Linked DNA regions of Arabidopsis thaliana. The protein of the gene in region 4 interacts with the protein of the main gene of each other region in a pairwise test. Each region holds a gene or a part of one and is shown on either strand. Other genes may lie near its edges. The genes, in order: AT4G18205, AT1G52155, AT3G17620 and RHA1A.

Region 1 (5,864 bases), 3.2 Mb from region 4:
TTGTATCTTTGTTGACTTCTGATTAAACGTCAGTAGACACTGAGAAAATAAAAAAAATTCTCGTAGAGCCGCCATTCAAAAGTTTCAAGAATTCCACAAGTCAAGTGTAAGCAAATAAGAAAAGTCACCGGTCAACATGAGACTACTAAATAATGATACTGCTACTGTCATCTATCGCCTGCCCCATCCATATAATACGATTTACTAAAAGCCTGCCATGTTTGATAATGCAACTTGTGTAGGGTATTTAGATGTTTTTTTGTAATACCATCAATGTGTGTTTAAAGAAAGGCCTCTTGTGTATCTGCACGACATCTCAAACAAAACCAATCAATAAAAACAAGAAACAATCTTCTTTCTCATGGACAGATCTCAAGAACACTATGCCAATGGTAAGAAGAAGCACCTGATAAAGTTAGATCCTTGAATTCATTTTTTCATGAGATATAATAAACATGAGTGTTAATTTTTCAGGTGACCAGAACTTAGAAGCAAACCTTATAGATCATGAGGTGGTAACTGAATCATCATCATCAGCTGTGCCTCAAACCGAGAACTATAAAAGGTGGCTTCGTGTCTCCATATACGTAATCTTTGTCCTCTTTTGCCAGCCACTAGCTACAATTCTGGGTAGATTGTACTATGAAAATGGAGGAAATAGCACATATGTGGTAACACTTCTTCAACTCATTGGCTTCCCTGTACTGGTTCTGTTCCGCTTCTTTTCTCGAATCAGGCAACCCAAATCAACAGATACAAATTTCAGTCAGTCCCCTTCCTTCACCACCCTTGCATCGGTTTACTTGTGCACTGGACTGCTAGTGTCCGCTTATGCTTATTTGTCTGCAGTAGGGTTGCTCTACTTACCAGTCTCTACTTTCTCCCTCATCTTGGCCTCACAGTTGGCCTTCACTGCCTTTTTCTCATATTTCCTTAACTCGCAAAAGTTCACTCCTTTGATAGTCAGTTCTTTGCTTCTCCTCACTGTATCCTCTGCTCTTCTTGTGGTCAACACTGATTCAGAAAACTCAACTAATGTATCTAGAGTACAGTATGTGATCGGGTTCATATGTACCATCGGTGCTTCCGCTGGGATTGGACTGTTACTATCTCTGATACAAATGCTCTTCAGGAAAGTTTTCACGAAGCATACATCCTCAGCAGTCACGGACTTGGCCATTTACCAGTCTCTAGTTGCGAGTTGTGTAGTTCTCATAGGACTTTTTGCAAGTGGAGAGTGGGAAACTTTGCCAAGTGAGATGAGAAACTACAAACTCGGGAAAGTGTCATATGTTTTGACTTTAGCCTCGGCAGCTATTTCCTGGCAAGTCTACACTCTTGGTCTTGTGGGATTGATCTTCGAGTCATCCTCTGTGTTCTCCAATTCCATAACAGCTGTGGGATTGCCTATAGTTCCAGTTGCGGCAGTGATAGTTTTCCATGATAGAATGGACGCATCAAAAATCTTCTCCATTATTTTAGCTATCTGCGGCTTCCTTTCATTCGTCTATCAGCACTACCTCGACGAAAAGAAGTTGAATACTAGCCACACAAGTGCTGTAGGAGATCTTCATCTACCTGTTGAGGAAGGTCACACAAACATACAAAGTGTGTGATCAAAGCATATTTCCAGTATAAAGCCAATGTATCTTTCTTTTTTTCCCCTCAAAGGCCAAAGCCAATGTATCTTTGTACAGTTTGAGCATAAAAAACGTGTAACGCTACTTTGCAAACTAGTCAGTCATAATAGCTAATAAGTTTTGTACATATGATACCAATAATTTCAGAATATTTTTCTTCTATATATACCAATAAGTTTTCTTAAAGATGCAAATGCAATACTCTGCTTTGTAATTTTGCAATGCATTTGAAACACCGAATCAAGAGCAAACAACGAAGTCAGAGAGACAAATAGGCTAAAACAGAGCTTTGAGCAAAAAAAAAAAACAAGTGAACAGATATAATACCCACTTACTTGGAAGCCACTGACATAACAGATAAACAATGTAGTGACTTGCAACAAAACTCCTTAAAATACCAAAAACGTATACTCTAGGAGCTTGGCTTCTTGTATCTTTGTTGACTTCTGATTTAACGTCAATAGACACTGAGGAAAAAGAGTTCTCTTAGAGCCGCCATTCAAAAGTTTTAAGAATTTTAAGTCAAGTGTAAGCAAATAAGAAAGGTCAATGGTCAGCATGAGACTACTAAATTATGATACTGCTGTCATCTATCACCTGACCCATCTTTATTATTATACACAAATTAGTAAAAGTCTGCCAAGTTTGATTAGTGCAACTTGTATCTGGGGTATTTAGTTACTATAATAAATATCATTTTGTGTATAAAGAAAGGTCTCTTCTGTATCTAAAAGACATATCAAACGAAAGAAATCAATAAACACAATATTCTTTCTTCCAAATTTTCTCATTTCTCATGGGCATATCTCAAGTACACTATTGCAATGGTAAGCAAAAGGTACCTGATGACGTTAGATCATTTGATCCTCTTTCGATGAAATATAATAACCACGAGTGTTAATTTTTCAGGTGACCAGAACTTAGAAGCAAACCTTCTAGATCATGAGGAAACTGAATCATTTTCAGTACCTCAAACGAAGAACTGTAAGAGGTGGCTCCGTGTCTCCATATACGCAATCTTTGTCATCTTCTGCCAACCACTTGCTACAGTTCTGGGTAGACTGTACTATGAAAATGGAGGGAAAAGCACATATGTGGTAACACTTCTTCAACTCATTGGCTTCCCTGTACTGATTCTCTTCCGCTTCTTTTCTCGAATCAGGCAACCCAAATCAACAGATACAAATTTCAGTCAGTCCCCTTCCTTCACCACCCTTGCATCGGTTTACTTGTGCACTGGACTGCTAGTGTCTGCTTATGCTTATTTGTCTGCAGTTGGGTTGCTTTACTTACCAGTCTCTACTTTCTCCCTCATCTTGGCCTCACAGTTGGCCTTCACTGCCTTTTTCTCATATTTCCTTAACTCGCAAAAGTTCACTCCTTTGATAGTCAATTCTTTGTTTCTCCTTACGGTTTCCTCTGCCCTCCTCGTGGTCAACACTGATTCAGAAAACACAACAAATGTATCTAGAGTACAATATGTGATTGGGTTCATCTGTACCATTGGTGCTTCCGCTGGGATTGGATTGGTACTATCTCTGATACAACTGCTCTTCAGGAAAGTTTTCACGAAGCATACATCCTCAGCAGTCCTGGACTTGGCCAATTACCAGTCTCTAGTTGCAACTTGTGTGGTACTCATAGGACTGTTTGCAAGTGGAGAGTGGAGAACTCTGCCAAGTGAGATGAGAAACTACAAACTGGGGAAAGTGTCATATATCTTGACTTTGGCCTCAGCAGCTATTTTCTGGCAAGTATACACTGTTGGTTGTGTGGGATTAATCTTCGAGTCTTCTTCTGTGTTCTCCAATTCCATAACTGCTGTGGGACTGCCTATAGTTCCAGTTGTAGCAGTGATAGTTTTCCATGATAAGATGGATGCATCAAAGATTTTCTCCATCATTTTAGCTATCTGGGGCTTCCTTTCATTTGTCTATCAGCACTACCTCGACGAAAAGAAGTTGAAGACTTGCCAGACAAAACCTGTTGAGGAAGAAACACAAACTTTATGAAACAAGTTGTATCGAAGGTCTCAGAAACAAACATACATAGTTGTACACAGTCATGTAAATAACCTATATAAAGCTTGTATGTGTAATATCCGTAATGGTCCATGCAAATGGGATATGTATGTCGCTCATATTTCAGGTATTTAGAACTTTTATTCAAAAGAGTATTGTGTAATACGAGCAGAGTGATAAAAGCAGTCATTTATTTAACAGAAAAACCATGTCAATTTTGTGATACTTTCATTGTGTGAGTGTGAAACCCGATAAAAATTGACCAGTTAGCATAACTTACAGATATGTCAATGCAATATTCTCCTTTCTAGTTTTGAAATGCACCTAAATCTTGGGAAACAAGAACAAACAGCAAATCATGTATAATGAGAGATAGAAGATAATTTGTCAGATTGGTCCAACATCCTTGGGGAAACAGAGCTTTGAACAAAAAGTAAATGACCAGAAATAATACCATTTTATATAGCGACTTCCTCTGCCGTCCAGTATTAAGTTGTTGCGAATGTCTTCTCTTGAAAAGATAGGCGAGACATAATCTTTAGCTAACGTCAGCATCATCTTGATGGCAAAAACTTCATGACTAGCCATGGAAACCGAAGTGTGTACCCAATCCAAATAAATTTAAAAAGACAAATAACTTTTAGAAATGTCGTCCTCATCAAGATCACAGAATACTACAACTTGTGTACACGTTCATACATATGCGTATGCGTGTTAAGTTTCTATTTGTCTATGCGTATGGGGTTCATGTCCTCCACATAGTTGCAGAAGAAAGTCTGAATGAATATTGCCTACACATAATTTCCTCCTAGACTTAACTCATCTCTTGGTCAACAATAGAGGCATCTTTGCATGTAGAAAGACTACAGATACTAAATTCATGGAAAGAGAAGAGATATGGTTGGCATTTACTGAATGTGGGGCCAAGAACAAAGAAAACTTAGACGGTGACCGATTCCTAATCCCAGAATATATAACTTAGCATATCTCACCCATATCAAAGGAGCAATCACTTGGTAGCATTATCAACCAAGAGAATTGATAATAAGATACGTTAGTTCCTCCTTGTCCATCTCCAAGGTGGTGATTCCACATCCACCATGACGGCGGATCAAGAACTACAAATCATTGGTGAGTAAGCATAAACCAGTTTGTGGTGAACGTCCTATTCTTTCATCTTCAAAAAAAAAAAAGATGGTTATGATATTTTATAATTCAATATATGAAACGATCGACAACAAATAAACTAATTTTTGCGTTATTTTCACTCACTTACCAGTTCGGCAGGGAAAAGAACCAAATCCAACAGTTCAAGATGAAAGAAATTCAGTCAGTAGCAGCCAAGCAGAAGTATCTCACTCTAACACATACAAACGGTGGCTCAGGGTGACTTTATATACATTCTTTGTCATTTCAGGCCAAACAGTTGCTACAATTTTGGGCAGAGTATACTATGACAACGGAGGAAACAGTAAATGGCTAGCAACGGTAGTTCAACTTGTTGGCTTTCCTGTGCTACTTCCATATTATATCTTGTCATTTAAAACACATGCAACAACTGATAGAGATGGAAAAAGAACCTCACCTAGGAACCGTGTATTGGTTTACGTAGTGCTTGGACTTCTTGTAGGAGCAGATTGCTATCTGTACTCCATTGGACTTCTTTACTTACCCGTTTCTACCTATTCCCTGATCTGTGCATCTCAGTTAGCCTTCAATGCTTTCTTCTCTTATTTTCTTAACTCACAAAAACTTACCCCTATCATTTTAAATTCTCTTTTCCTCCTAACTATATCTTCCACCCTACTTGCATTCAATAATGAGGAGACAGACTCCACAAAAGTTACAAAAGGAGAGTATGTCAAAGGTTTCATATGCACCGTTGCTGCGTCTGCTGGTTATGGTCTAGTCTTATCCCTACAACAGCTAGCCTTTCTAAAAGTCCTAAAGAAGCAAAATTTCTCAGAAGTTATGGATATGATAATCTACGTGAGTCTAGTGGCCAGTTGTGTTAGCGTGGTGGGGCTTTTTGCTAGCAGTGAGTGGAAAACTTTGAGCAGTGAAATGGATAACTACAAACATGGGAAGGTATCCTACATTATGAACCTAGTGTGGACAGCTGTTACCTGGCAGGTATTCTCCATCGGTGGCACAGGACTGATCTTCGAGCTCTCCTCTCTATTCTCAAATGCAATAAGCGTTT
Region 2 (7,070 bases), on a different chromosome or scaffold from region 4:
CCGAGGCCGCTTAAACGCTTTCTTGATGCATATCAAAGACTTGAGGATTTAGATATGGAGTTTCTTGATTGTAGAAGCACCACAGCAACTTCTTGGGCTTCTTTAGAGAGTGGGGGCGAAGCTGAGGGTTCTTTGTTTACTCAAGGAAGTCCTATGCAGAGTGTCTTCAAAAGATCTGATATCTCGATGGATAATTCTTCGGTTTTGCTGTGTTTAAAGAATCTGAAGAAGGTTCTTAGCGAAATTGGATTGAATGATTTGATTAGTTTTCCTGTTGTACATTGTCCTCAAGCGTATGGTGTTGTTATCAAGGCAGCTGAAAGAGTAAATAGTGTTGGAGAACAAATCCTTGGATGGAAAATGGTTTATTCGGGCGACTCAAGACCTTGCCCTGAGACGGTCGAAGCATCACGAGATGCAACAATTCTTATACATGAGGTAAAAGTTGTTATTTAACACAATTCTACAAGTTAGATTTCGACATTCATAAACTGATTGTTTTTGACAGGCAACGTTTGAAGATGCGTTGATAGAAGAAGCTTTGGCGAAGAATCACAGCACGACTAAAGAAGCAATCGATGTGGGATCTGCGGCGAATGTGTATCGGATTGTTCTCACACATTTTAGCCAGAGATATCCGAAGATTCCAGTGATTGATGAGTCGCATATGCATAATACCTGCATTGCCTTTGATCTGATGAGTATAAACATGGCGGATTTGCATGTGCTTCCTAAGGTTTTGCCGTATTTCAAAACTCTTTTCAGAGATGAGATGGTTGAAGATGAGGATGCAGATGATGTTGCCATGGATGACTTAAAGGAAGAAGCTTTGTGATGACTTAAAACAGTGCAATAGATCTTCATTATTGTTCGTTTGCTCTCTTGTGGTTGAAAGAAAAGTAAAATGGAAAATTTTGAAATTTGGGCTATAGTTTTGACATATTAATTGTGTTAATTTAGCAATTGTTTTTCGGGAAAATCATATTTTTACCTTCAAAGTGTTATTGGTAGCGCTTTAAACCCAGAAAGAATTTCATTAATATTATGAACCACCAAAATAATTTTGCTAACACTTTAAATCTCCAAACTAGTTTTCATGTTTGCACCGCCACGAAAAATGATAAAACAATTAATTTAAGTTTTTTAATATGAATTTTTAAATTTAATTTAAATTTAATTAATTTATGAATTTAATTCTGAATTTATGATTAGTAAAAAGTAAAATAAAAAAAATAACAAGTCATCATCTTCGACTAATGGATTAAATGAGTTTGTCCAGTTTATAGTTTTTCTATAATCTAAATAGCTATCAAATACTGAATCACGTTTTTGACCCAAAAAAAATACGGAATTATGTTTTGGCGGAAATTACGAAATTATGTTTTTAGCGGAAAAATGCGGTAAAATTAATTTCATGGTTTTAATAGTTAAATCATGTTTACTTCGGTTTATTTAAATCGGTTTAGACATTTGATTCGGTTATCTTTGGTTTACACATTTGATTTAGATTGTTTACTTTCCATTGGTTTGGTTATAGTAACCCACTAATCCATTCTAATCTAACCCATATCAATCCAATTCATTAAACCCATTAACCCATTATCCATTAAGATCCAAATTCTCCACTCAATTAACCCATGGATTAGATTGGTTTGGATTGATCCATACACTCAATTTAATCCACTAAATCTCTAGTTTGTGTTCTTGATTTGGCCAATCCTTAACTAACCAAAATCCTAAATACCACAACGTAGTAATCCTTTCAATAACATAGATTGACTAATTCAAGAACACAAACTAAAAACTGGGCATGGATATGTAGAGTATGTGGAGAAGAGAGATTTTTTCTTAAAAGGATTTGGAGTTGCTTTCTCTAAATGTTTCTTTTGTTTCATTTTGTGAAGAAAAAGATGAAAGATTTGTGTTTACATTTTCATTTGAAGCATTATACTAGAACTAGTTTTTGCATCTATACAAATTTTATTCCTCTATAAGATAAGAAACCCCAAAATGTAAATGGAAAGAGAGAAAGGTAGTTGCTGAGGAAGCATCTTGTCTTAATCAGAGAGAAACTTTGTCAATTTTGGTGATCTTTCACTCTCTTTAGGAAGATGGATAGAGGAAAACATTGTATCTTTTGCTTCTCTCTAAATGCTATCGCGGATGCTGAATTATCACTAGAACTGAATCTTTTTGCTTTTCGTAGTTTGAATATGGCATTGGCTGCGAAAAGAGATTTAAACACAGAATGAGTTTACATAAAACTCTGGCTTGATGATCCAATGGAACAAGAGCATAAATGAAATGACTTACCACTCCGATGTTCCATTCTTGACTTCTGAATTCTTTGAAAGATTTTGCGTCCATTTCCTGATATTTTGGTATATAGATTTAGCATAAGTAGAACATTACTCAAAACCAAAACACATATAAGCAAAGCAAAATAAGCTTTATGTTTTGGTTAATGCAAGATATTACAAGGCAAAAGGAAGTTTACATTATGTCACTTACCATGCTATAAATCGGAGGAATAATTGTATTCTCTTTCGGTTTTAGTGTAGGCATTACCGAGAAACGCGGTGCCATATCCTGAGACCTGAAAGTCCAACTGCCAAAGTATATAGTTTGGAGCATTGTTAGTTCTTGACCAAAGCAAGAACAGCGAAATGTACTTGAAAAGTGGGATCATAACTTACCCAATATAGAGAAAAATGCAGAACTGAGCCCATTCTCGAATTAGTAGCCTGAGCCAATAGTTTTGTGAGGAGTTATCCATGTTCATGTAGATCTGCATAATTTAAAGTGAGTGTGAGTATAAACAATGTAGCAGTAAATTCAACATGATGTCAATCAAGAAAGATTTGGTCATACCACAGTTTCTGCCATTGCTACAATCTGCATAGCTCCTTGGAATTTTCTGAAACCATAAACATAAATAAAAACTCTTAGCAGATTATCTACTTCCATCAACCATCAAACCTGAGGGTAATGAAAAACGTACTTGAACATGATGTATTTAGCATATACAGCATCATGCATAGCTTGAACATTCTCATCTTCGATAAAACTCAGCTGTTCTCGTAACACCGCTAGATTTTGCGATATGTGATGGAATATAACATAGAATGAGATCATGTAGTTAAGTATCAGAAGCACCTGGAGGAGCAAAAAAAGATTGGTTCATTCATCATCTTGTAAGTAAGTAAAAGATTAGCTTTAATGAGTAGGTGAAAAAGGTAAAAACTCACTGCAAAATAAGGAACAGAAGCTCTGTATCCAACAAGAGTCAAATAAAAGACACAACCAAGTGAAGCTGTAGTTCTACGTTCGGTCAACGAGAGCCGTTCACAAGTGATGCAATAACCGTGAGAGATAAGTAAAAAAGACACAAATGAAGCTGTCTGAAACAGAACACCAGTCACATATACACCAAAAGACATCCATAGAGAGCAAATGTGATGGTGAAAACATGAATGCCTGCCACCAAATAACAGATTAATCAACTATAGAGACTTCGAAAACGATCTTTCGATAAAAAGGTTACTGAGAAATAATTTCTCAATATGACAAGGTAACATTAATGGAAACAATAACTTCACAAAGAGGACTTACCAAAAGAGGAAAGATAGTGTGAGCTGTAAGGCTTTGATTAATGGAACTGAAGCAAGAGTCCATTGTAAACTATTTGTCTGCTCTAAACAAAAACACAGAACCAAAATCAAATTGTGTTTCTTCCTTAATGAAAAACATAAAAGAGACAAATCAAAAACAGAATCGTCTGAATTCATGATTAAAACAATAAATCCCAAGTACCATTCTGCAAAAAAAATTGATTAAATTTTGAGTAATATTTGGAATTTGAGAAGAAGTTTCATAAACCCAAGAGTGAAAAATCCAAAATTTATCGAAATAAGATAGAGAAAAAATAGGAGATTTATTGACCTGAAAGTGGCGATTTTTGAAAGTGTTAACCGTCCAAGAACAAGCGGAGAAAGACCAGATCGTTAAAAAGGTTAAGTAGAGAATTGGGAGATGACGATATGAATCATCGACGCCATTGATGCCCTGAGATTCTTCCATTACAAAAGAGAAAGCTTTAATCTCAGAGAAGAACGAAGACAAAATTCTGTTTTTTTGATACTTACTTTTTTTTTGGAAGCTTCACATTTTTGTTGGGGTTTCTAATTCTATTTATGAATCTCTGTACTATTGACACTTGTCTTTTGCACTAATTAATCTTGGTTTTTTGGATAAACCAATTAATTGAGACTTAACTGCCCTTAGATCAATTCCACTAATATCTCCAACTAATTGCTTAGTTTCATTTAATGCAACTAAAATTTGTATACTCATAAAATAATCCGAATATTTGTATCATTTTTCTGTTTTCTATATAATAAAAATTGCTATTAAATTTTTAATAAATTATCCTGAATAAACTTTAAATCATAAACTAATTAATTTTAGTTTGTTTTGTATAATTAATAATAAATAAATGTGGTGTTTATTGTTTTGAACTTTTGAGTCGTCGGGAGAATAGGGGAGCATAAAAAGAAGGTGGAGAAGAGAGAGCAGACATGCGAACAAAATGGTCATTCAACTAACCCACTCTCTCCTTTTTGTCGTTGAGTTTTGATCACCAATACCCTTTTTTTTAATTTATGTAATTTTGTTGGTCGTTGTGACTTTTTCTTGATTTTGATATTTTATATGTTATGTATTATCTATGTAGTTCGTTGCTATAATTTCGTGGTGCAGTTTACCACTTAAATCATATGCTTATTTTGGTTGTTATAGAAAAAAAGGAACGTGGAAGACACTACAAATCAAATTAAAGTCAAAACATCAATTTCGTGGCATATGTAAAATAAAAAAATTGTAGGTTGATGATATATATTCGGACAAGTATCTGCAAGAAGATTAAAATATATAACGGGCAGAGAGAAAGATTCACGTAGGGAAAGATGCAAGCATGTCACTATTTCTTAAGAATGTTTATATGTAATCAACATTATCCATTTAGGTTTACTACAATCTACATTTAACAAATGTCTTTTTTTCCCATAACAATTAACAATGTTAATTTGATCAGAATAACATTTGATGTTAAATCTCAGCTATGCTAAACCTCTAAGTCTAAACACCTAACATCAGATCATCAAGTCGACGAGCTTTGAGATCATTAGAGAAAAGGATCTTGAAGCAAAGCAACAAGAACACCTCCATTTTGACTACAATAATGAATTTATTCCTAGTTTCATTTGGGTCAAGGGTCCGCTTGATTCTGACTTGCCGAACAGTGATATTCGTTCCATAACTATGGAAAAACATTTCTTTTATAAGATTTAGCATCTGACGAAAGATCTGATCCATCTTCCAAAGTATACAGGCCATAATGTAGATACACCAGAAGCTAAATCTTGAAAAAGCAGAGAGATTGCTTCACTAATTTGGCAGTTGCATGAACCGAAGCAAGCAATCAACTATAACCAGTAGAAAAATCTCCTGCAAATATAGCAATCTTTTTTTGTTATGAGTAAAAAAACAAACGAAATTAATCATTCTATTTTTCCAAATAGAACAATCAGTGGACAGATTGAATATCAGTGACCTATATAGCCTATATGAAACAAGTCCACCAATTGCAACAGCCGTGATACATAATGGACTGGGCTGAATTTAGGCCCGATATGAAGATAGCGGTCCAACGTTTAATTAAAACAGTCAATTCTACACTTTTTTGTGTGTACGTACTCTATAATGAAAATATATTGGTAATTGAAAAAGTTAAGACTTGAATTGAAACCACTTAAAGAAGAATTGAATTCATCATGATGAACAATTCAAATCAGTAGTATAATACAATTCTTTTACAGGCATTATTGGGAAAATGAAGGAATAGTACTAGTTAAATTAAAATATTTGAAAGAGAGTTGACAAAATAAAAGAAAGAAATTTGAGAATAGAGAAAAAGAAAGAAGGAAAGAAAGAAAGTGAAGCTTCAGCTTTAAGACGGAGGAGACGCATGCAAAGAAGGTAATGATGTTGTCTCTGTCTCCTACGCAGACCTCTCTCCCACGCCTTTTGTTATTTTTTATACGCCTCTGACCTTCCCCATTCCTTCTTACCTTTATTACCCTCCTATTCACTCTTTTACCACTCGTTTACTACTAGTTAAAACTTAGAAGTAGTAATATTTATTGGTATAAACCTCATTAATTTCATATTGTGGGCATAAATGTAGGAGTATAAGATTAGCATCCGTTAGAGATTAGTCACAAACATTACAACATTAAACGTTAACATTATCTATGTTGTTTTCCATGATTAGATCGAAGAAATTGCATGACCATATCAATGTGCTGTTAGTTCAGTGATAAATCTTTTAGGTGGAAGTGCTGAGTTCGAAACATATTGGGATGAATCTCTTTTCCATAAAAGATGAATTTAACCGAGTGTTTTTGAGTCTGAATTTTCAAATATTAAAAAAAAAAAGAAAATTGCATGACCATAATTTTTTTATTTATAAATATAAAAACTATAGTATAATAAAAAAACTATAGTATAACAATAGGTAATTTTCACAAATAGCAAAAAAATAAAATTTATTACACTAGTATAAGCATTTGATTGCCTTTCTCTTCAATTTGACTGCCTTTTTCTCGTTTACAATTTTCACTGATTATATATTTGAGAATGTTTTAAGCTTTAATTAACCTTTTTTTAACCTTTTGGAACAATTTTTTTGACAATTATACCTATTTAGACCATTTTCGTAGAGTAAACAAGAGAAATTTGGTTTTCCCTCGAGGTGTTGTTGTTTGTTGGTTTATGAAATTGAAATGTGCCAATCATAAAAAAAAACAAAAGAAAATGCCAACGAAAAAGCTAATTTCACAAACGCAACAGCACTATCAAATCACATTATTAAAATAATATTATTATTTTAAGGCCAAAAAAAAAAATCAAAGTTGCCATGAACGAGCTAGAGGAAAAAAAACACACAAAGTAGATAACATCTAAAAACAACAAAACAGTACAGTAGCTCCATGATTCGTTTTCTACATACA
Region 3 (5,824 bases), on a different chromosome or scaffold from region 4:
TTCAGAGAGATCAGAAGAAAAGAATAATTACGAAGAAATGGAGAATTTTGGTGAAGGGAGAAGAAGTGGAGGCGGAATGTTGCCGTTGCTGGCTCTAAGCGCCGTCGCGGAGTACTATAGACTACCGTGGAAACCACCGGTGACGGCGAGTCTCCTGGCCGCGAACACTCTCGTTTATCTCAGGCCGGCGTTTATCGATCCCGTTATTCCTCACATCAGTGAGGTCTGGTTCAATCCTCACCTCATCTTCAAGGTAAACCAATCTTAATAAATTCCTTCATTCGCCAAGAGAAATTGATTGCAATTTGACCGATTTCGATCTGAAATTCGAATTTGAGTTTCCTGGGAAATTTGTACCAATATCTGGAGAATTAGGGATTTTGTTCTTCGATATCTAATTAGATCATTCTTGATTGATTAATTCTATTCTCTGTTAAAGTTTTTTTTTTTAATCTTGATGTGTATTTGTTGAACAGCATAAGGACTTGAAGCGTTTATTTCTATCAGCGTTCTACCATGTTAACGAGCCTCACTTAGTCTATAACATGATGTCACTTCTCTGGAAAGGTATCAAGCTTGAGACATCAATGGGAAGCAGTGAGTTTGCTTCAATGGTCTTTACTCTTATTGGTATGTCTCAAGGAGTCACATTGTTGTTAGCCAAATCGCTTCTTCTCTTGTTTGACTATGACAGAGCTTACTACAACGAGTATGCGGTTGGGTTCTCGGGTGTTCTCTTTGCTATGAAAGTTGTTCTTAATTCTCAAGCTGAGGATTACTCAAGTGTGTATGGTATCTTGGTTCCAACAAAGTATGCTGCTTGGGCAGAATTGATTCTAGTGCAGATGTTTGTACCTAACGCTTCGTTTCTTGGGCATTTGGGTGGAATCCTTGCTGGTATTATCTATTTGAAGCTGAAAGGTTCTTACTCAGGCTCAGATCCAGTCACTATGGCGGTTAGAGGTGTATCTCGATTGGTGACGTGGCCCTTGAGGTTTCTGAATGGTATGGTTAGGTCTCGGAGAAGGAGGATTACGGGGAGAGGAAGAGTGGGAAGAGGTCAGACTGGGATAGCAGGACCTGGTATTTGGAGATGTCAGTCGTGTACATATGACAATTCTGGTTGGTTAAGTGCTTGCGAGATGTGTGGCTCGGGACGGGCTAGAGGAAATGGATGGTCACTGAATCAGGGACCAGCACTTTCTTCTTCTAATGATCTCCCTTTAGATGAGCTGCGCCGTCGAAGAGTAGAGAGGTTTAGTTGATCTCGGGAGCGCATTCTTAAAGCTGAGGAAGGATTGTGAATGAAGCTTTGTTGAATCATTCATTGCATTAGCTTATGAATAGCAGAGTTAGTGGTCGTGTTTTTCGATCTGTTTCTTCAATTTGTCTTCTCTTTTGTTGTTGAAGATTTGGTTCTACGTGAACTGGTCCTTTGATTAGATTGCTGAAAGTAGCGAGTGATTCAGATAATATAGTATCTTCACACCAAACTTACAGTTTCACAGACTTTCGATTTTAACAAAATTTTATCCTATTTCAAACCAAATTTTGTTGAAAGAAGAAGATCACAAAGCAAGATATAAATGTTAATCAGTAATCAATTTCCCTTTTTTCTTCCTTTTGCCTCCTTGCTTGATTTGCGCTGAGCTTGGAACATACGAGCACACAAGTGGATCTCGAATTTTATCAGTAGTTTTTCCGAGATCCACTTCTTTGTAATATCCATCCTCTCCAATGATGTAAGCTGTGTTGTGAGTGGGATACATTACATCTTTGTCTTTAGCAAAGACTACAACAACTTTCTTCTCTTCGTCAATGATGAAACTCGCATCTGCAATTCCAAACTTAAAATCAGTGAGTGGTTGCATATCCACTGCTAAGAACAACTTGCTCCACATCACCTCTTCAGGTTCAATCTTAGTCGTAACCCAAATCTCCATATGTAAGTTGTCCTTACGCTGAAATAACACAGCAAGTTGCTCTTCTCTAACACTAGAAAGACTCACAGTATCTACATCCATAGGGTAACACGGCAAATGAAGACGCGGCCCAAATCTCTCCGATGTAAAATTAAAACAGAGCAAGAAATAAACACTATGTATAAGATTACTGCTGATTTCTGGAAACTTGTCTGTAGCAAACCAATAAGTATTTCCCTTGAGAGAGACACCTCGTGCATAAAACTCTACTTCCCAGTCGGAAGTGACATCGAGAACCCTCCATGAATTAGACTTTAACTCGTATATTTCGTACTCAACAAATTCTTCTTCGGCAAAATCAACGAATCGCAAAACTTTGTAGCGTAGGCTTGATTTACGCTTCTCGTATCCTATAGCACAGATATACCAGTCCATTCTATGGTCAGGACTACTGGGTTTGAGCCACAAAGTTTGGCTCCTATACGGATTCCAAACCACGACCCTAGTGTAGTCTTTCGAGATACATAACAGTAAACCGTCGCAGTGATATACTTCAGATATATCGATCTGATCTGTACCGTTTAGGCTAACAAGTTTAGCTTGACGGTTTATAGACGGGTCAAAGCCGTTGTGAATTCCACGGAGGTTGATGCTCGTTAGATAAACCTTACAATGCAAGACCATGACAACCTTAAACTCACTTTCCCTTGATGTTGCTTCCTGAGCAAGGTGCTTCTTTGTAAAGCTCCGCTTTTTGGATAATGTTTTCCAATTTTTGCAGGTAAATCGCGCTTCTCTCAATGATTTCACCGGAACCCTAGAGAGTCTCTCCTCCAACAAATCTCTTGGAAGATCGGACATCATCTTCAAATCTTTCAAATTTGAACAAGGATCGATGTAACACAAATTAGTTAGGTTTGAAACTTCAGTAAAAAGCTCTCATGTTTCCCCACAGGAACCCTAACTCAAGCTGGGCCGAAACACAACTCTGCCCTCTAAAAATTTCCCGGAATTATTCATCTTTTTGAACTCTTATTTATATGACTGTGATGTCGTTTCATTTATGGGCTTTATTATTGGGCTTTTAGCCCAACTGTAGTTAAAAACTTTTTAGTGATTCTCATTTGTATATGGCGGGGGAGATGATCGACGGTCGCTTCTTGCGGTGGAGATGGAGGAGGAAGACTCTCCTCTCCGACTGCGGCGATTGAACCGAGAGAGCCACCGAAGATTCGAAACCTACAAAATATAGAGGGTGATGTAATCCAGCGTCTGAGCTCGCTGAGAACAGCCTCGACGCCGATTCCAATTCAGTACGGTGGCTTAAAGCTCCTTCAATTCTCAGACCATGGCCAAGGCTCTGTATCTTTTGCTCACTGGTTCTACCATTGTGAGTTCTTCACTACCACCTGCTTTGAATTCAACTACAATCTATCTACAAAATTCTCTAGCCGAAACCTTTCAAGTTTTAGCATGAGACCCTTAGCTTCAATTGTTTTTCTCTTGGACACTGTCTAACTTTGATTCTTCTTGGAATTGATTAGGAAATGGCTAAGAAAGTTGGAGAAGTTATAGAAAAATCCTGCGTAGAGAATGGGATCACAAAGGTGGCCTTTGACCGTGCAATTTACACTTACCATGGCTTTAGCTGCTTCAGCAAATAGAACACGGTCTCCAATTTTAAGTCTTTTTTTGTTTTGTCCTTCTCAGAAATTTGCTTGTATAGAACCCATGATTGAAATTTAGATTAGTCGGCTTGGAACAGTGTTAACTTCTTCCTTTTTAATGTGTTCATTTGTTCTTACTACTTATGCATCTCAAGAATGTTTATATCGTCTATACGATGATAATATATTTGAAAATGGTTGATGTTTACAAAGCTTCAGAAGGTAAGACATCAAATGTGCTGCTTAGTTAAGAGACAGGTACAAGTGCTTGCAAATTTAGGACAGAAGGACAAAGACAGAGACGAAAACTTCGGCGCAGTGAAGGCAGTTCATATCTGCGAAGTATAGATGCGATATGGTTGGAAGTTAAGTAACTGATAGTCTATAAATAGAAAAGTGCGAGGTATATGCCCACCCTGGAGTTGGTATGTCCGCTTCTATCTCATCTACCTATTATTAGCAAACTATAGACGTTATTAGTTTTCTGTTTTTTCCTTTTATATACTCACTTCTTTAATGTAGATTCTGTTTAATAAAAACAGTAACAGAACAGAATAAAATCTTGATTTCTTTTTTTTCCTCCCATTCAGGTCTCATACTTCGTTTGGCAATGCAATGAGGGAGCAGCCAAGGCAGTATTGAAGGGTGAAGCAGTATCTCGTTTCTTGACCAATCATCAACCTGTAAGTAGATCTCCACTAGGATGGCAAGCACCAACGTTACAGGGCAATGCCCGGGTCCAATGAAGGCTACCTCCAATGGAGCCTTCCAAAACGAAAGCCCTCTTGATTTCGCGCTTCCTCTTATCATCCTACAAATCGTCTTGGTGGTTGTGTTTACAAGGCTCTTAGCTTACTTTCTTAAGCCTCTCAAACAGCCCCGAGTCATTGCTGAGATCATTGTGAGTTTCCTACTCAATCTCTTTGTATTTTTCTTTTTCTGTTTTGATGAAATCACATAGCAAAAGAGACTAAAAGGGATGGTTCTGTAGGGAGGGATACTGCTTGGACCTTCTGCACTAGGGAGAAGCAAGGCCTATCTTGACACCATCTTCCCAAAGAAGAGCTTGACCGTTTTAGACACACTCGCCAACATTGGTCTTCTGTTTTTCTTGTTCCTAGTTGGGCTTGAGCTTGACTTTGCAGCAATAAAAAAAACTGGAAAGAAATCACTATTGATAGCCATAGCTGGGATCTCACTTCCTTTTATAGTGGGTGTAGGCACATCTTTTGTTCTCAGTGCCACCATAAGCAAAGGAGTCGATCAGCTTCCTTTTATTGTCTTCATGGGTGTTGCCTTATCAATCACTGCCTTCCCTGTGCTTGCTCGTATACTAGCTGAGCTAAAGCTTCTAACAACTGACATTGGACGTATGGCAATGTCTGCAGCGGGAGTAAACGATGTTGCAGCTTGGATACTCCTTGCGCTTGCTATTGCTCTCTCAGGAGATGGGACTTCTCCTCTTGTATCTGTTTGGGTTCTTCTCTGTGGAACTGGATTCGTGATCTTTGCAGTTGTGGCAATCAAACCTCTGCTTGCTTATATGGCTAGACGCTGTCCTGAGGGAGAGCCTGTAAAGGAACTCTATGTTTGTGTCACTCTAACCGTGGTTTTAGCAGCAAGCTTTGTGACAGACACTATTGGGATACACGCGCTGTTCGGGGCGTTTGTGGTAGGTATAGTAGCTCCTAAAGAAGGACCATTTTGCAGGATTTTGACTGAGAAGATAGAGGATCTTGTTTCGGGGCTTCTTCTACCTCTGTATTTTGCGGCTAGCGGTCTCAAAACTGATGTAACAACGATCAGGGGAGCACAGTCATGGGGACTTCTAGTTCTTGTCATTCTCACCACTTGTTTCGGGAAGATTGTAGGAACAGTTGGTTCCTCGATGCTCTGCAAGGTTCCTTTCAGAGAAGCCGTGACACTTGGATTCCTTATGAATACCAAAGGTTTAGTAGAGCTCATTGTTCTTAACATTGGCAAGGACCGGAAGGTATAGATTCTTGAAAGCCATAATAAGACTTATAAAACATTTAAAAGCCGAGTTATCTAAATAACGATTTTTGTGAGCAGGTGCTGAATGATCAAGCATTTGCGATCTTAGTCCTAATGGCATTGTTCACAACCTTCATCACAACTCCAATTGTGATGCTTATTTACAAGCCTGCAAGAAAAGGAGCACCGTACAAGCACAGAACCATCCAAAGAAAAGATCATGATTCTGAGCTAAGGATA
Region 4 (5,262 bases):
ATTTTTTATTAACTTTTTTTTTTTTTGACAAATTCATATATTATGAAGTACGTTGAAGTAATTTTAATATGATAAAAAGATTTAACTGATAAATATAATCATGAAATAAATAAAAATCATTATTATTTTCGATTTTTATTTCTTTCGAAATAAAATGTTTCCGAAATTGTTATTATTTTTCGTATATCAAAAATGAAAACATTTCTTCAAAAGATGTAATATCTTTGAAATAAAATGGAGTTTTAAATAAAAAGTCTTTGATTTAGTTATTATTTTCTTTTTAAAAAACATCGTTTTTTAATACCTAGTTAGTTGTACATATTTAATCATTCTTTAGTTTATATAGTATTAAAAACCATCAGAAAAAAACATATGTTTAATGAATTTTGTAACAAGAAAATATATTAAAATAAATTATAACTCGGTACATTGATCTGATGATAATAGATATAGTTAGGAGTGTCAAAATGGGTCAAAATTCATAGGTCAACTCAACTCAACTCAACCCATGAACCTTAATGAGTTGAAAATTTTGACTCAAATGAGTTGATGGGTCAAATGAGTTGATGAGTCAATTGGTTTGATGAGTAAAATGAGTTGGGTTATAATGGTTAATGGTTTCAATGGTTTACCCAATTAACCCATTAAGTTTTGTAAAATTGAATTAAACCAACTAAAATCTCTAAACCAATGTCAATTTAAGTTTAATCAACACATCTAAACCAATTTAATAAAATTAATATTTTTCCAAATTTCTTAAATATACAAACGATGAAATTGAGAAAAAGTAAACTCGTAATTTTTTCACCAAAAAAACATAAACCCGTGATTTTTCCGCCAAAAACGTAAACCCGAGATTTTCCCGCCAAAAACGTAAACCCGAGATTTTCCTGCCAAAAACGTAAATCCATAATTTTTCCGCCAAAAACGTAAACCCGTGATTTTCTCGTCGAAAACGTAAATCCGTAAAAAGTGGAATCGGTAAATATCCTAAGTTTGATGATAATGAATTAATATTGATAATTATTTATTATTATTTTATAATAATAATTAATTAAATTACTATTTAAATAGGTTAACCCATTTAACAACTCAACTCATCAAATTAAATAAGTTATGGGTTGACCCAACCCATTTAACAAAATGAGTTGGGTCAACCCATAACTCATTTAACCCTAAACTCATTTGATTATGAGTTAAGTTGAGTTGGGTTATCCATTTTGACATCCTTAGATATAGTGTTGTTTTTGTATAAAGATATATATAGTGTTGTTCCTTCAAAAAGATGATCTATGTTAATATACATAGAGTTATACTGGAATTGATACAACAAATATTCTGCCGACATAGATTAAACCAATTAGTTGGTACTTTCCACTTCATCACTAAACCAATCTGAACCAGAACCCCAATCAGATTGCGTGTACTTTTCTTTCGGTAAGAACCGGTGCCGACAAACCGGACATTTCATCTTGTTGTAGTCAACGATCCAACGGTCTAAACAATAATGATGAAACACGTGTCCACACTTGGGTAGCTGCCTAACCTTATCGTCGGACTCAAAATCTGACAAACAAACCGTACAACAATCTTCCGGATCGGTCGGAAGATCCGAGAACCGAACCACCGGGATCAACTCGTTAGCAAGACTCGCTGACGTAGAGAGAGCGTGTCGGGTCAGATCGGGTGCAGAGGTCTCGTTGTGGTCTAGAAAACGAGGTAGACCAATGTAAGGACAAAGAGCATCGACGATGTCTCTAAAGAAACCGATGACGTAAAGTATCTTTAATATGTAACTTGGAATCTGAAGCTCGGTGATGAAATCTTCAGGAAGACCCATGATTTAGAGAAAGATAGAGAAGAGAGCTAGATTGAGATGTGGAACTATAGAGACAAGAATAAAGTGTGTATAATAAAAAATGGTGAGATTTATAATTGTGTTTGGAGTACAATTCAAACCGGCAGCTGAAGATAAGTATAACCAAATTGATGTCAAAACAAAAGAGAATACATATTCTATATACTTTTCTTTGCAAAACGGTGAATGGTTGAATTTTAATAACACAGTTTAAAGACTATTGACATCAAGGAATTTTAATAACACTGTTTAAAGGATTTTTCAAAGAAAAAAAAGTTCTTTAATACTACTTCAAAATGGTAACGACTATTCAGAGACTCCATCCAAAAATTTATAAAGTTTTACAAACGTATAAAAGTAGTTTGTTTAAGTTTTCTTATAAAGTTACACTTATTTAGGTATATTTCAGATTTTAAAGATATTTTTGATAAATGTTTTAGAGAGATGACATTTTTGAAAAGTGGTAATGGAAAATGTGCATTTCTAACAATTCTTCCTAAATATAGTATATGATTTTAGCAAAGCAAAACTCAAATAATATCAGTTAAAAAGTCGATTATCCGCTTTAATTCAAACTATGTCAATTTTGTAGTAGTTATATAAAGTACAACAGAAAGAATTTAAATATGATAAAAAAGATTCATTTGATAGATATTATGAAAGGCAAAAATTTGTTTTTTTCGTCGAAAGACATATAGATTTATAGTGGATGAAATATCTTCTAAACTATTATTTTTTTTGAATAAAATATATTGCTTTATATCAATTTTGACAAAGACTAAGGTAGTTTACGTATTAATTCATTCTGTAATTTATAAAGTACAAATAAAAATAGTATCATGGATTTTAATAGACAAATTAAGAGTTTCTTTAAGATATTTTTCGGTATAAAACTGTTTACAAATTCTATTTGGTAGAGACGAATTAGATTATGAATACTGTTTTTCTTCAAAAGAAAATGAATTCAGATTCCTAACATAGCGATATACCATAACACTTGATGTGTTTATTTGTCCACTTTTTTATTCAAATAAAAGAAAAGCAGATTACATTGGAAGATTTTATACAGACGGTTCTTTAACAAAGAAAGATGATTGATGCTAATATACACAATTACATAATCTTATACTTGAATTATACAGTAGTTTGGAAGAAAGAATTATACAGTAGAAAAATATTACCGTGAAAAAAGTAAAAAGTAAAAGTAAAACCATCATTATTAGTTGGTACTCTCCACTTCATCTCTAAACCAATCTGAAGTACCCCAATCAAACGGCGTGGACTTTTCCTCCGGTAAGAACCGGTTCCGACAAATCGGGCACGTTATCTTATTACAGTCAACGATCCAACGGTCTAAACAACGATGATGAAACACGTGTCCACACTTCGGCAGCTGTCTAATCTTATCGTCGGATACAAAATCGGATAAGCAAACCGTGCAGCAATCTTCCGGATCGGTTAAAAGATCGGAGAAACGAACCACCGGGATTAACTCGTTGGCAAGAGTTGCTGACGTGGAGAGAGCGAGTCGGGTCGGGTCGGATCGAGAGGTCTCGTTGTGGTCAAGAAAACTTGGTAGACCGATGTAAGGACAAAGAGCATCGACCATGTCTCTAAAGAAACCGATGACGTAAAGTGTTTTTAGTACGTAACCTGGAATCTGAAGCTCTTTGAAATCTGTTGGAAGACCCATGAGTGTGAGAGAAAGATAGAGAGGAGAGAAAGAAAGAGATAAAGCTTGAATTGTTGAATTATAGAGACAAGTATAATATATAGTGAGATTGATGTTGGAGTTATAATAATTGAATCCGGCGGCTCAAGATAAGTATAGTCAATTTGATCAACAATGGTGGGTCTTATTTAGTGTATAATGTAAAATAGTAAAATATTTTGCTTGGTATAGAAACAAAGAGAATATATTAATACAATTTTCTGTGATAGATAATGTGGTGACGTTAAGGGTCTTCTTTAGTATATACCAAAACAAAAAAAACAAATTTTAATATTAGGTAGAAATTTAATACCCGAATGATGGATTTATTGGGATCTTGACATCAGGGATTCAAGAGTGGATAGTGAAGATATGAACACGATCTTGAATCTATAGGTCCTACCAAACTAAAATCATCTTGAATCCATAAGAATGATTCTCTCCTTACATGAGATATTATATACTTCAAATTTCATATAGAAGAGCAAATGGGGATGTAGCTCAGATGGTAGAGCGCTCGCTTAGCATGCGAGAGGCACGGGGATCGATACCCCGCATCTCCATTTTTTTGTTGTGAATTTATCCTTGTTTTTTGTCGTTTTATTATTCCCACTAAAAGATACACATTCTTTGATATTGGGCCTTTGGTACGAAACCCATAATTTGGACGCACTCATACTTTAATTCGCACGCATTTAGACACTCTTTAGTACTTTATTATTCAGACATAACGGTGATGAAGTCATCTTGTCGTAGTTCTATATTCGGTTTGCACAAAGAGACACAATGAATTATCCAATGTCAGAGCGTTTCACTTTGTTTTCTCAGAAATATCTTTAAAGTTTTGTCATGCAGAATCTTCAAAATTTAGCAACACACTGAGTTTTCAAAATTTAGCAACACACTGAACCTTCAAAATCTAGCAACACACTGAGTTTTCAAAATTTAGCAACACACTGAACCTTCAAAATTTAGCAACACACTGAGTTTTCAAAATTTAGCAACACATTGAGTTTTCAAAATTTAGCAACAAACTGATATCAAATTTGTAATCCTTAGCTTGCAAATATAGAATTTGTTGTAGTAGAGACATTTTGAATCAAGTAAAGATGTAATCATATTATATAAGTTACTATATGATCCACGTAATGGCTAATCGCTTACCGGTAATTGAAAAAGAGAAACAAAAAAATAATGTTAAAGACTAGTCGATTTAGTATAAGTTTGTAAGCTAAGAAAGAACTGCAGTAATGGATGGCTCCACCATCTTATTTAGCCTCTATATATGGCCTTCAAGATTGTGATTCTGATTTATGAATCATCTTCTTCGGTTCAACAAACAAATTTTACTTCAAAAAGTAAAATTTTAAAATAGGTTATAAAGACTTCAACACTAGACTATTTAGATTCTACACAAGTGACCTAAACCAGAAAACCTTGTCTATACATGATCAAGACCTGCCTTAAATTTAAGATAGTTGCAATATAGAGCAAGAGTAGAATGAAATTTCAGTTGAGGAGGATTTTAGCAATTACCATTAGACTTAAATTACAATGACACTTTCTGCTTTTTTACATATTGTTGGAGCAATAACATAAGTTCTCACTAATGACATAAGTTCTCACTAATAACATAAGTTCTCACTAATAACATAAGTTTTTCAGAAGACTAAAATATAGTTTCCTATATATT

What was found.
Region 1: the proteins of RHA1A (region 4) and AT4G18205 interact in a protein complementation assay, tested with the Arabidopsis thaliana proteins (one large-scale study listed by BioGRID).
Region 2: the proteins of RHA1A (region 4) and AT1G52155 interact in a protein complementation assay, tested with the Arabidopsis thaliana proteins (one large-scale study listed by BioGRID).
Region 3: the proteins of RHA1A (region 4) and AT3G17620 interact in a protein complementation assay, tested with the Arabidopsis thaliana proteins (one large-scale study listed by BioGRID).

Annotation. Positions count from the first base shown.
Region 1 is NC_003075.7:10,071,414-10,077,277, forward strand, and holds AT4G18205 (Nucleotide-sugar transporter family protein), read left to right. Parts: upstream 1-2,297; 5' UTR 2,298-2,436; coding exon 2,437-2,467; intron 2,468-2,549; coding exon 2,550-3,652; 3' UTR 3,653-3,957; downstream 3,958-5,864. Other genes in the region: PUP7 (purine permease 7), read left to right, coding at 362-392, 475-1,616; AT4G18203 (uncharacterized protein), read right to left, coding at 1,331-1,507, 2,039-2,086, 2,238-2,246; PUP10 (purine permease 10), read left to right, coding at 4,762-4,792, 4,941-5,864.
Region 2 is NC_003070.9:19,414,676-19,421,745, reverse strand, and holds AT1G52155 (uncharacterized protein), read right to left. Parts: upstream 4,313-7,070; 5' UTR 4,081-4,312; coding exon 3,943-4,080; intron 3,690-3,942; coding exon 3,613-3,689; intron 3,478-3,612; coding exon 3,249-3,477; intron 3,157-3,248; coding exon 3,002-3,156; intron 2,918-3,001; coding exon 2,872-2,917; intron 2,789-2,871; coding exon 2,697-2,788; intron 2,609-2,696; coding exon 2,512-2,608; intron 2,371-2,511; coding exon 2,314-2,370; intron 2,224-2,313; coding exon 2,155-2,223; 3' UTR 1,872-2,154; downstream 1-1,871. Other genes in the region: TRZ3 (tRNAse Z3), read left to right, coding at 1-438, 509-835.
Region 3 is NC_003074.8:6,024,909-6,030,732, forward strand, and holds AT3G17620 (F-box and associated interaction domains-containing protein), read right to left. Parts: upstream 2,787-5,824; coding exon 1,590-2,786; 3' UTR 1,538-1,589; downstream 1-1,537. Other genes in the region: RBL14 (RHOMBOID-like protein 14), read left to right, coding at 38-253, 477-1,265; AT3G17626 (structural constituent of ribosome), read left to right, coding at 3,271-3,312, 3,467-3,586; CHX19 (cation/H+ exchanger 19), read left to right, coding at 4,293-4,490, 4,581-5,582, 5,663-5,824.
Region 4 is NC_003075.7:6,904,355-6,909,616, reverse strand, and holds RHA1A (RING-H2 finger A1A), read right to left. Parts: upstream 2,130-5,262; 5' UTR 1,841-2,129; coding exon 1,361-1,840; 3' UTR 1,175-1,360; downstream 1-1,174. Other genes in the region: RHA1B (RING-H2 finger A1B), read right to left, coding at 3,078-3,551. UniProt on the Arabidopsis thaliana protein: Probable E3 ubiquitin-protein ligase that may possess E3 ubiquitin ligase activity in vitro.